Kluyveromyces lactis: one gene and its partners. The protein of the gene in region 3 purifies or fractionates together with the protein of the main gene of each other region. This does not show direct contact. Links are inferred from orthologs where the notes say so. Each region holds a gene or a part of one and is shown on either strand. Other genes may lie near its edges.

What was found. Proteins that work in one complex are often made in the same cells at the same time.
Region 1: the proteins of BRE5 (region 3) and YRA1 purify together in Saccharomyces cerevisiae (affinity purification with mass spectrometry; 3 studies listed by BioGRID). This does not show direct contact. The link is inferred for Kluyveromyces lactis from reciprocal best matches to the Saccharomyces cerevisiae genes BRE5 and YRA1.
Region 2: the proteins of BRE5 (region 3) and RPS15 purify together in Saccharomyces cerevisiae (affinity purification with mass spectrometry; 3 studies listed by BioGRID). This does not show direct contact. The link is inferred for Kluyveromyces lactis from reciprocal best matches to the Saccharomyces cerevisiae genes BRE5 and RPS15.

Annotation. Positions count from the first base shown.
Region 1 is NC_006041.1:255,145-259,363, forward strand, and holds YRA1 (RNA-binding protein YRA1), read left to right. Parts: upstream 1-1,814; coding exon 1,815-2,069; intron 2,070-3,305; coding exon 3,306-3,719; downstream 3,720-4,219. Other genes in the region: AFI1 (Afi1p), read right to left, coding at 1-973; COI1 (Coi1p), read right to left, coding at 4,152-4,219. UniProt on the Saccharomyces cerevisiae protein: RNA-binding RNA annealing protein. May have a role in pre-mRNA metabolism. Component the TREX complex, which operates in coupling transcription elongation to mRNA export.
Region 2 is NC_006042.1:739,161-741,856, forward strand, and holds RPS15 (40S ribosomal protein uS19), read right to left. Parts: upstream 930-2,696; coding exon 501-929; downstream 1-500. Other genes in the region: RPP2A (ribosomal protein P2 alpha), read left to right, coding at 1,937-2,257. UniProt on the Saccharomyces cerevisiae protein: Component of the ribosome, a large ribonucleoprotein complex responsible for the synthesis of proteins in the cell.
Region 3 is NC_006039.1:1,666,371-1,670,329, reverse strand, and holds BRE5 (Bre5p), read left to right. Parts: upstream 1-1,534; coding exon 1,535-3,016; downstream 3,017-3,959. Other genes in the region: CCR4-NOT core DEDD family RNase subunit POP2, read left to right, coding at 1-683; OCA4 (Oca4p), read left to right, coding at 3,429-3,959. UniProt on the Saccharomyces cerevisiae protein: Has a role in de-ubiquitination. In conjunction with UBP3, cleaves ubiquitin, leading to the subsequent mono-ubiquitination of sec23.

The DNA of each region.
Region 1 (4,219 bases), on a different chromosome or scaffold from region 3:
TTGAATTATTATAATTCGTATCTATTTTTATGGCATCATATTTTATTAGATCAATTTGCAAAGGAATCCTCGTAAAATAAGCAGGTAGAACTTTGGGACGGAAAGTAGAGAACTTATATTCAAGAATCCTGTTTTTAAATTGAATCTCATTTCCGAACTTGTCTTTTTTGGGCAGCTCATTAACCCTAAGTATATTGGGCAAAGAGTTTTCGTTTGCATCAAATATTTTGGATGTAATTTCTTCGTCATTGATAGAGTTTAGAATATTTTGTAGTACAACATTGGAATGGAATCTTATGACCAAAGAGAGATCAAGACTGTTAATCATGTCAAAACAGTCTATAAGTATTTTAATATCGTTGTTATTCGATGTCATGTAGTGATCAAGCACCATTGTTAACAATGGTTTAAATGTGTAAAAGTTTGTCATAGTAGTACCCAGTGCAATGGCTTTTATATAAGCACCGCGATCATTTGAATTATCTAAAAACGTGTTCACGACACTTAAGAAAAATAATGGTGGCTCAGTTTCCTCTAAATGCCTATCATCTCTAATTGATCCAATCTTACCACTTCGCAGTCCATTTTCTTGTTCTTCTTCAAAGTCTTCCTCTTCAATTATCAGTGAGGAATCCAAGTCAGTACCTTTAGTCTTATTTTTGGATACAGGAAACAACTGGTAAACGTTTTGATTCTTGTATAAGACAAAAACAGTGAAATCTGGTTTACCTGGATGGTTCTCCACACTATTCGGTATCATCAAACTGGCCAAATGAGAACAAGTGGAATCACTCCCAATAGTTTTAAAACCAGGGATTGTCTTTGGATATTGATGCTTTATTATCGGCCCAGATTTGTTATCAAATTCTGCCGCTATTATAAATTGAACATTGGGGTTAGAGTGTGTGTGTTCATTTTGAGATTGTCGTAGGTGAAAGTTCAATCCTGTTTTTACCTTGGAAGAGTGTTTCATAACTGGTGAACGCGCGGTCTTTCCTCTTTAATTACAGAGTCAGTCCGTTTACCACCTGACCGTCGTTCGGAGATTTAACTTGCCAGTGAGACGTCTGTATCATTTCGCTGTAAAATAGCACGATTTTGACCCATCATCGTCTTTCTTTTTGAACCGATCAAATAAAATGAACCAAATAATATCGCTAACAGTGAAATAATCATGAAATTACCCGGACTGTAAATGGATTCAATTCGGCTTCTATTCGCTTATGACAGGAAGGCATAGAAGAATGTTTGGATACTAAGCGTTGTAAGATTCCCGCCACAGCCTACTTGGGTCTATCTGCGGAAGCGATCCATTTGAACATAAGATTGATCGAATAGCTGTCTATCTTATATATCAACGGATTTTACTTTTCAGTTGTTGCGGCCTTACAATTCACGAAATAAAGCTAAACGATGTTTGTTGGAAACAAATGAGTCCCCTCGACGAAATTATGGAGCATTATCTTTAGTCTTTGAAATGACTGTTATTCACAAAAATCTTTATCATGTCAGGAATGAAGTAAGTACACCGTTACATATGCAGCAGATCTTAGAAAATGACAATCGTTACCCTCTTTTGTTGATCGTGCTGGTTTTGATTTTCTTGAAAAGAATTGGACAAAAAGTTTGATATTTGATTTTTTTTGTATAAAAGGAGCCATAGATTTTTGCCCATTGGAATTTTTTTCCCTTTTTCCATGAAAGTTGTTCTTCAAATTTCTCTTTGTTTCTACTTCATAAGGCAAGCAACTTTATAAGTTATTTCCTTCGAATCAGCTACCCATCAGATTCTTTTTTTTACACTCTCATAAGCAATGTCTGCTCTAGATCAATCATTAGATGAAATTATTGGCTCAGCCAAGCATGCCAGAAGAAACAACAAGGCCGGGCCAAAGAAGGTTTCTAAGCAAGTCAACAAGAGCCGTACCAGAACAGGTGCCGGTCCTTCTAGAGTTCCAAAGAAGGCTGCTTCTGCTGCTGCCCTAGTGCCAGCTTTGCTAAGAGCTCCTATTTCTACTAGAGTTAATGTCGAGGGTTTGCCAAGAGACATTAACCAAGACGCTGTTAAAGTATGTCCCATTTTAGCCATGGCCTCTTAGTAGGTTCTTTTCTAATGAAAAGGACTGTCGAGATGCTACTGTACTGATTGCGAAAACAAATCGGATCAAACTGCAATAAGACTTGCGGTTAATTTAAGTTTACAACGGATATATCCTGTGGAATTCCATCCTTATGTTTACTATACGATCATACATTCCCGTGTATTTGATTAAGAAGAAACGGTCGATCGATACCTTTTTTGAGGTCTGATATTGATGTGTGAATAATTTATTTCAGAGTTAGTTTTTATTGAGCTAATGAAATATAACAAAACGAAATTAGCTATCCAATTGGCTGGGTTTCGCTTTTCAGCAAGCCTTCCTTTGTGATTTCTTTCCGTTTTTCTCCTCTAAGTTGACAGAACTTTTCATCAAAATTATGCACTGAACTTCGTTTATTTACGACATTTTATTTGATGGAGAAACGGTAGTGAATCACGATTGGGAAATGCCGAAAAGATGAAGTATATCTATTTTTTCTCGTCATATCTTCTATTCTTGTGACATTATGTGTCACTGGAGTTTCTGTTACCATTTATTACATTTGGCAATGCATCTATTTTTTAATGATGCCCAGTGTATTATTCTCTTTTTTCTAACTCTTTGCAAAGAACTGGGAATTTGAAGAAGATTACTTGGTGTACACCTTGTAGGAACAATTAAGTTTGACCTCTTCCTTGGTGTGTGTTTAGCTTGATGCCTCAATCTTCAAGATAGTGCGACATTTTTAGCAAGGTCGTCGTGTTTGACAACTTCAAAAAAATTGGCAAAAATTGAAACGCCACTGAAAAGCAAGTTTCAATGAATGTAATAAATCGAGATGGGTATGCTGGATTTGAAATCGATTTTCATTTGTCATTCTGCTATGAACATGTTCTATCTTGTCTGGTTGAGATCTCATCACTGACTCCAGATTTACTCTCCAAGAAAAAAAATAGAAAAGAGAAAAGTTATAGTATACTTACTTTTTGTTGGTTGTCATGTTAGATCCTACCTTCAAATCGAAACCTAATGAAACCCATTTGTGGTATATTTTACTGTTTAAGAGTTAACTTCATATCGTGACAGAATTGACCGGGTCGTACATGTATGATGAATTGTAAACATGAATGATTTCCTACAGGACTATTCATTGAAGACTCCGCTGTTTTCAGTTATCTATGAATAGTTTCACTAACAAAAATTTTGCTCCCTTATTATTACTAGGAATTTTTCAACCATCAAGTCGGTGGTGTCCAAAAAGCTTTGTTGAGTTACAACGAAAGGGGTAACTCCACTGGTATGGCCACTATTACCTTTAAGAACGCAGAACAAGCTAACTTAGCTGTAAAGAAATTCCACAACGCACCAATTGATGGTGGTAAATCCAAATTGAGATTGACGTTGATTGTCGATCCAAGCAGAAAGACATTATTGGACAGAATCCGCCCTGTACAGAATGCTCAGGCTGCCGCGCCAAACAAGAAGGCAGCTCCAACAAAGCCTCAACCTAAGAAGAAACCAGCCGGTCCAAACAAGAAAGCCATTGCTGCTAAGCAAAAGAAAAGAGCTAAGCCAGAAAAGAAGTCTTTGGAAGACTTAGACAAGGAAATGGCTGACTATTTTGAAGAATCCAAATAAGATATTGCGTTCTTGAAATTACTGGACTGAGAAATTATAAAGTCTTCCTTAATAACGAACGGATTGTCTCTGCTTTCGAATCTATTCGTTAGACATCCTAGAAGTTCAGTTCATTTGTTGTTTGTTTTATATTCCTCAATTTCAACCGGTGTGACTGCGTGGTTTCTCAATCAAAAAAATCCGTATCTTTCTTATGTGCTCGGCCTATCTTTTCTTACCTAGCTAAACTTTATTATAATATTGATATCAATAGTTTGTATTTTATTTCACTTTCTTTAAGCACTATTTACATGAGGAATCTTTCAGTAAAGAACAGGATATATTTCTAGATTGTTTCATTTAGTCATTGCAGTGTTTGTGTGTGTTGTTAATAAATAAGTGTGATGGGTAGGTTCGTGTATTGCCTTGCAGAATTAAAATCTTGCTTATTAATCATTCGTTACTTCTTCTATCCAAGAACCCTAATCTATCACCACGCTTTCTTGTATTGTAGGATAAAC
Region 2 (2,696 bases), on a different chromosome or scaffold from region 3:
TAAACATTTGTTGGACGTTGGTAGAGATAAAAGCGTAAATAATAAAAAGATGAGAAAGAAACCCCAAAAATAGTAGTCCTTGTGAAGTGAGGAAAGGTTGTGATGAATTGGTCAGATTCCAATGTGAAGCGAAATATCTTTATTTTATTAAGACACCAGGATAGAAATAAAACTTATAATAAACCGTATCCAACCCGATGATATTTTTCTATAAGAAACAAAGGGATCGATATCATGATTTGATGTCCAAATTAAAAGGGCATTTGAGGATGACAACTGGATCAATTTTTAAGTTTTCTGGAATAATTCTGCGTATATCATTGATATAATCGCAGATTTAAAATTCGGTACCACATGATAATACGAGGGAATCTGGATACTATATCAATGCCCAAAACTTCTTAAGTGTCCGAACTTCAAAAAAAAAACAGAGAAGCGTATTTTGTCAAGGGGAAATTTTTTCTTGGAGTTCTTGCAATAGTTCTTATCAATAAAGTAGTTTATCTCAATGGGATGAAACGAGAGGTGGTGGCACCAGCTCTACCATGTCTAACTGGAGTGTAGGTGATAGAGAATTCACCCAAGTAGTGACCGACCATTTCAGGTCTGATTTCGACTTGGTTGAAGACCTTACCGTTGTAAACACCAACAACAGAACCAATCATTTCTGGAACGATGATCATGTTTCTCAAGTGAGTTCTGACAACAGCTGGCTTTTCATTTTCTGGAGCAGACAATTTAGCAGCTCTCAACTTCTTCATCAAACCAGCTGGCTTTTCAGACAAACCACGAGCGAACTTTCTTCTAACTCTGGCTGGGGCCAACTTAACGAAGTCTTCAGTTGGCATTTCCAACAACTTTTCTAGGTCAACACCCTTGTAAGAGTAGGTCTTGAAGGATCTCTTTCTTGGAGCAGCGGCTTCAGACATGTTGGCTTGCTTTCTTATTGTATGGTTCGGTGAGTTAAGCTAAACAACAAAAAGGAAAAGGAAAATTAAACCAAGCTCTATTGAAACCTTCTATTATAAAAAGAATACGTGAAATGAATTGCAATATCAACTAAAATCTCTATGTGAAATCAACAAAAGCTGTAACTATCAAAAAAAGCATTAAATTCAAACTGAGATTGTTCGTATTGGTGAAAAAGGTCGATATCCTCAAACTTCGCAATGATTCTGAAAAGTTCACCAAAAAAATCATTCAATGGTAGGACCCATACTAGGGAACCAAGCTGTTCGCAGAGACAATAGCGGAGGAGAAGATGGGCCCTATTCCCAGCTGGAAGCATGGGTTGGACGGGGGAGACGGTAAGGTTAGGCAGGAAGCTTTGCTACCGGTAGGCAGGCCAGTAAGCTTGCACTCCGTGTACCCAACAGGGTGGAGAACAGGGAGGGAGTGGAACCGGAGCGTAGGAGGAAATTGGCGAGTCTGCCTACAGATTGTAAGTTCGGTGCGAAAAAATTAGTAAGTGGTGAGACTCAAAATGAAAATAAGGGACTGTTACCACAATACACCACATATAAAAATGCGTTTAAATCCTATTACTATATGTACACCGCACTTTGTTGTTTTCTTACCATCCATATCTTTTAAGTTTTTCGTCCGAAAAAGGAAAACATCTAGGCGACCAATTCCACTGATTTTCTTTAGCACTGGAAAATCGAGGAATCTGGTTCCCAATCTGCAATTCGATGGAATCAGTGCGAGAGTTAGTACTCTCACAGTGGAAAGCTTCAACGCTTTCCAATGGCGCCCGGTAATTCTCTCTACCTTGACGAATCTTCAACATTTTTGTCAATTGATTAGAGGTTTACAATACACGTTTAAGGTTTAAGTGCCTTTATATTTTAATTGTTAAAGGCATAATACTGTTTAATTCTTGGTATAGTTCACGTAATTCTCCCCAGAAACCTCGACAAATATTGAACGCTTAAAGATGAAGTACTTGGCCGCTTACTTGTTATTAAACGCCGCTGGCAACACCCCATCCTCTGACAATGTCAAGGCTGTTTTAGAATCCGTTGGAATCGAAGTTGAAGAAGAAAAGGTTTCTTCTTTGTTGTCCGCTTTGGAAGGTAAGTCTGTTGAAGAACTTATCGCTGAAGGTACCGAAAAGTTGGCCTCTGTCCCAGCTTCTTCTGGTGCTGCTGCCTCTGGTGCTGCTGCTTCCGGTGCTTCCGAAGCTGCTGCTGAAGAAGCTCCAGAATCCGAAAAGGAAGAATCTGATGACGACATGGGTTTCGGTCTATTCGATTAAACAAATCAATTTTAAAGGGACTTACACAATAATGAACAAGAACTTTTGATATCCTGAAATTTTTGCAAGGCTAAACCAGCAATAACTTTCACATAATGGATGTTATGGTTGTTCTAATTTTTCTATCTATTCTTTTATTATTCTACGTTTAACGTTTCAAACCTCATACAAACCGTTCCTCACACACGCTCAGCATTTGCATTCAACGGGAACAGAATAAATCAAAAGGTGGGAATTCTTTGCATTTTTTTGTAAGGATACCTATGTACTATCCATTGCCCATTATCAATGCTTACTATTCATGTACAACTACATCAAACCAGTATACAGGATCTATATCTGATAATAATAAAAACATTACTACTCAGTGATTTTACTCAAAATATAATCGGCGCTGTCCTACTGTCTGTAATGGCTGACAATATACAATTGAGTTGTA
Region 3 (3,959 bases):
ACGTGGATCTACTAACCCCAATCCAGATTGGACTTTCGTTAAGCGATTTACAGGGGAATAAACCAGACAACTTCCCATCCACATGGCAATTCAACTTCCATTTCGACGTAACAAAGGAGACCGTGAATTCGGAATCGTTAGAACTATTAAAGAAATCCGGTGTCATCTTGGAGAGACATCAACAGAACGGTGTTGATTTCGACGAGTTTGCTCAGTTGATGATGGATTCCGGGTTATTGTTGAACGATGAGGTCACGTGGATCAGTTACCATGCAGCATACGATTACGGGTTCTTAATCAACAGGCTCATGAACACAAACATGCCCAACAACAAAGAGGACTTCGAATGGTGGGTTCAGAAATACATACCAACGTCGTACGATTTGAACCTAATTAACAAGTTAGTTCATGAGGTAACGCAACAACACCCACATCCACCACCATTACATCTATTACAAAGTCAACAGCAACAGCAACAAAACCAACAACAGCAATATACACTAGAACTACTGGCTGACGAGTTGGGGATTCCGATCTTCCCATTGTTCAGCAGCGCAGCGGGACAAAGTCTCTTGGCACTATTGGCATACACCCAACTCGGTAAATTGTCTTTGTACAAACTACGCAATGGAACAGATTTCAGTTACTACAAGAACCTGATCTACGGAATCACACAGGAGTAATATATGTGATTTTTATGTGCCAGCCTTTCATATAGAGTATCATCAATAATGCATTTATGTATGTGAATATATATATATACATACACAATCATTCTTAAAATAGGGTATAAAAGGTGGCTGACTAGCCACCGTCACTGAACTGAACTGATGCTGACCAGTGCGAAACCCACAGGTTGCAAGAGCGCAACCTGTGTACTTCATTCACCTGGCATCTCGTGAGGCATGATTTCATAAGATGATTGACGAGTTTTCCATTAAAAAATTTTGAAAATTGACTCTTTACATATAATCACTAGATGCAAACATGCACATACTTTGCTTGTGAGGGGCGTTTCTTGTTGTTAGGGTGTCTATTTGGTTCGCTTATCGGTTTTCATGCATTCATTAGAAACCAGACTTTAATCTTTAGCGATAAGTTTGAAGCGTGAGGCACATATACGGTGTTCGTAGTGCTGAAATTTCCCGTGAGTCTGGAAAAAAGCACCCATAGGAAATTAATACTTTTTTGTTATTGTATTCTAGTATACCCTATACTTTCCTGCTTGAATATCCACCGTTAATACACTTGGATTAAAACGTTGTTAGAGCGTTATTAGAGCGTGCTTTTCCCTTCTTTTTTTTTTTTTTGTTTGACAGTTTTATTTTTAATTCATTCAAAGGTCTTTCTGATTGACAACGATTGACTGTATTGCATTCATTTCATACACTTTAGCATTCCAATTTGATTTTTTGATACCCGCGATCGGTTTGAAATTGAGAGTTATCAAAGAATAGTTGAATTCTTTTACAAGAACCAGTGTGTTTTTTCCTGTTTAGATTAATTTGATACAATCACATTTGGTTTGGAAAATATGACCACTTACGATGTGAAAGAGATCGGATATGCGTTCCTAAGGACGTACTATGAACGTATGCATAATGATCCATCGAAATTGTCGTGTTTATATTCTACCACGGCGGAATTGACCCATGTGAATTATAATGAACCTATCAAGCATGACAAAGATTATTTAAACACCGTCAAGTTGATTGGTAAGGATAACATCAACAATTTCTTTACCAGAAACAGCAAGCGTGTACAGGATTTGAAGGTCAAGATTGATTCGTGTGATGTGCAATCTACTGGGTACGAGAGTTCTTCGATTCTGATATTGATATTAGGGGAGCTATGCTGGACGGATTCACCATCTTACAGATTTTGTCAGTGCTTTATCCTGGAACCAGCAGAGTATAACAGTAAAGTCTACGATTTGAAAAACGATATCATTCGTTTCATTCCTGACCTTGCTCCATTAGTGAACCCAGACCAGCCAGTATCACCACCATCTGCTGTTGTTGTTGAAGCTGAGAATGAGAAGCCAAATGTCAACGGGGACGCAGCTCCTGTTTCTGTTCCTGTATCTGTTTCTCCAGTAGTGGTAAAGGCAGCAGCGAAACCGGTTGAGATTGTCAAGCCAATTCCAACTGAGAAGCAACAGCCCTCTACTGCTCCAACGGAAACAAAAGTGGAACAACCCCAAGCCGTTTCAGTAAATAAAACTAAACCTAAGGAAAATGAGGCGATTGCGCCAGCTACTGCTCCTGCTGCTATTGCAGAAAAAGAAAAAGAAGACAAGGAAGACGAAGCACAAGCACAACCAAAAGAGCAAGCGACTTCAGCATCAGCCACCCCAACCTCAACGACAACCCGTTCTGAATCGGTGCCCCCACAAGAGGTTCCTGAAACAGAAGTCACCCCAAAGGCTGAACCAGTGAAAATGACTTGGGCAGGCAAACTCAACAAGACATCTAAACTAACTACAAACTACATCAAGGTAGATCTTCCACAAAAGAAGTCTAAAAGTCCACCTCCAAACGGATTCACCAAGTCAAACAAGAAAAGCAAGCAGCAATCGAAACCAATAGGCGACGTTATCATCCAAAACAGCAGCGGTTTCTACCCAGTATACGTGGGTAACACAAATGGGTTGACCGCATCCGAACTTGAAAGAGCTCTAATAAAAGAATACGGTGATGTCGTAAAAACCTCATTCCAAGATTCGTTCGCTGTGGTTGATTTCAGAGAAAAACCTGCAAGAGACGCTGCCATCGATGCTCAACATTTAAAAGTCGGTGAAAGAGTTATTAATTTAAACCCAAAGGGCGATAAAGCTTCTAAGTACAAAGCCAAGAACAACAGCAACAATAGTAATAGTAATTCTGGTAACACTAATCACAACACAAACGGCAACAGTTCACATAATTCCCCATCACCAGAACTCTCGTTAAACCAAGGTAATTCCACGCTTAAAAAGAGCTCAGTGAAATCCCGTAATGACAAATCAAAGAACTAATCTCATGTACTTTAATCGTAAACCCAAATCATCTCAAACCTAAATGAAAGGCGTGATAAAACCATATTATAAAAAAAAAAACCATAAAAAAAATTAACTAAAACGATGAAACTATGAGTCGGGGAAAACTTGTTAAATATATCCGTATGTAACCTATCCACATGTACATTTTATATATTTCCCTCTCACTATAAGCATATCACCGAAACATTATTGTTGTCTTCCCTTTTTGTTCCTTCTTTCTCTAAGTCACAACCCTTTGAAGTTGGTTCGAGCTTGATGAAATTTAAAGGAACAAAGATCTTCATGTGCACATCACAATGATAGAAAAGGTGATTGGCAGAAAGATCAGTGCTGAAGCCAAGGGGACAGGTGAGGAGATACAACTCTAGGGTCATAGAAACCATCAGCTATGTTAGTTCCTCCAGCGAATTTCGGGATTCCCGAGGAAGGTATCTATCGATGCAGTAAACTTGAGACCATTAACCTATCATTTTTGGAGACTTTGAATTTAAATACGATCATATTCATCGGTGGTCAAATCCCGAGTAATTTCTTCAAAGAGTTCTTCGCCACTAACGGCATAGATTACTTTGTCATTAAGACCTCTGGTGATTCGAGTTCTTTGGTAGCCCCAGATCACAAAAAGCGTCAATCTTCTGCGAATCATGGTGAGACGAGACGGAAGAGTCTTTGTGATAACTGTCACTACAGTTACACACTCACGGACCAAGACGATTTGATGCTAATCAAGAGTCAGAGCATCCGGCGAATATTCCGGATACTGTTAGATGTCTCGTACCATAACGTATTGTTAGTGGATAAGACGTCCGCTGTGATTGGAATATTGAGAAAGATTCAGAAATGGGAACTATCCTCGATAATCAGCGAGTACAGGCTATTCACAGGGAAGAACAAGAACTACTTTGCAGAGACGTTTTTG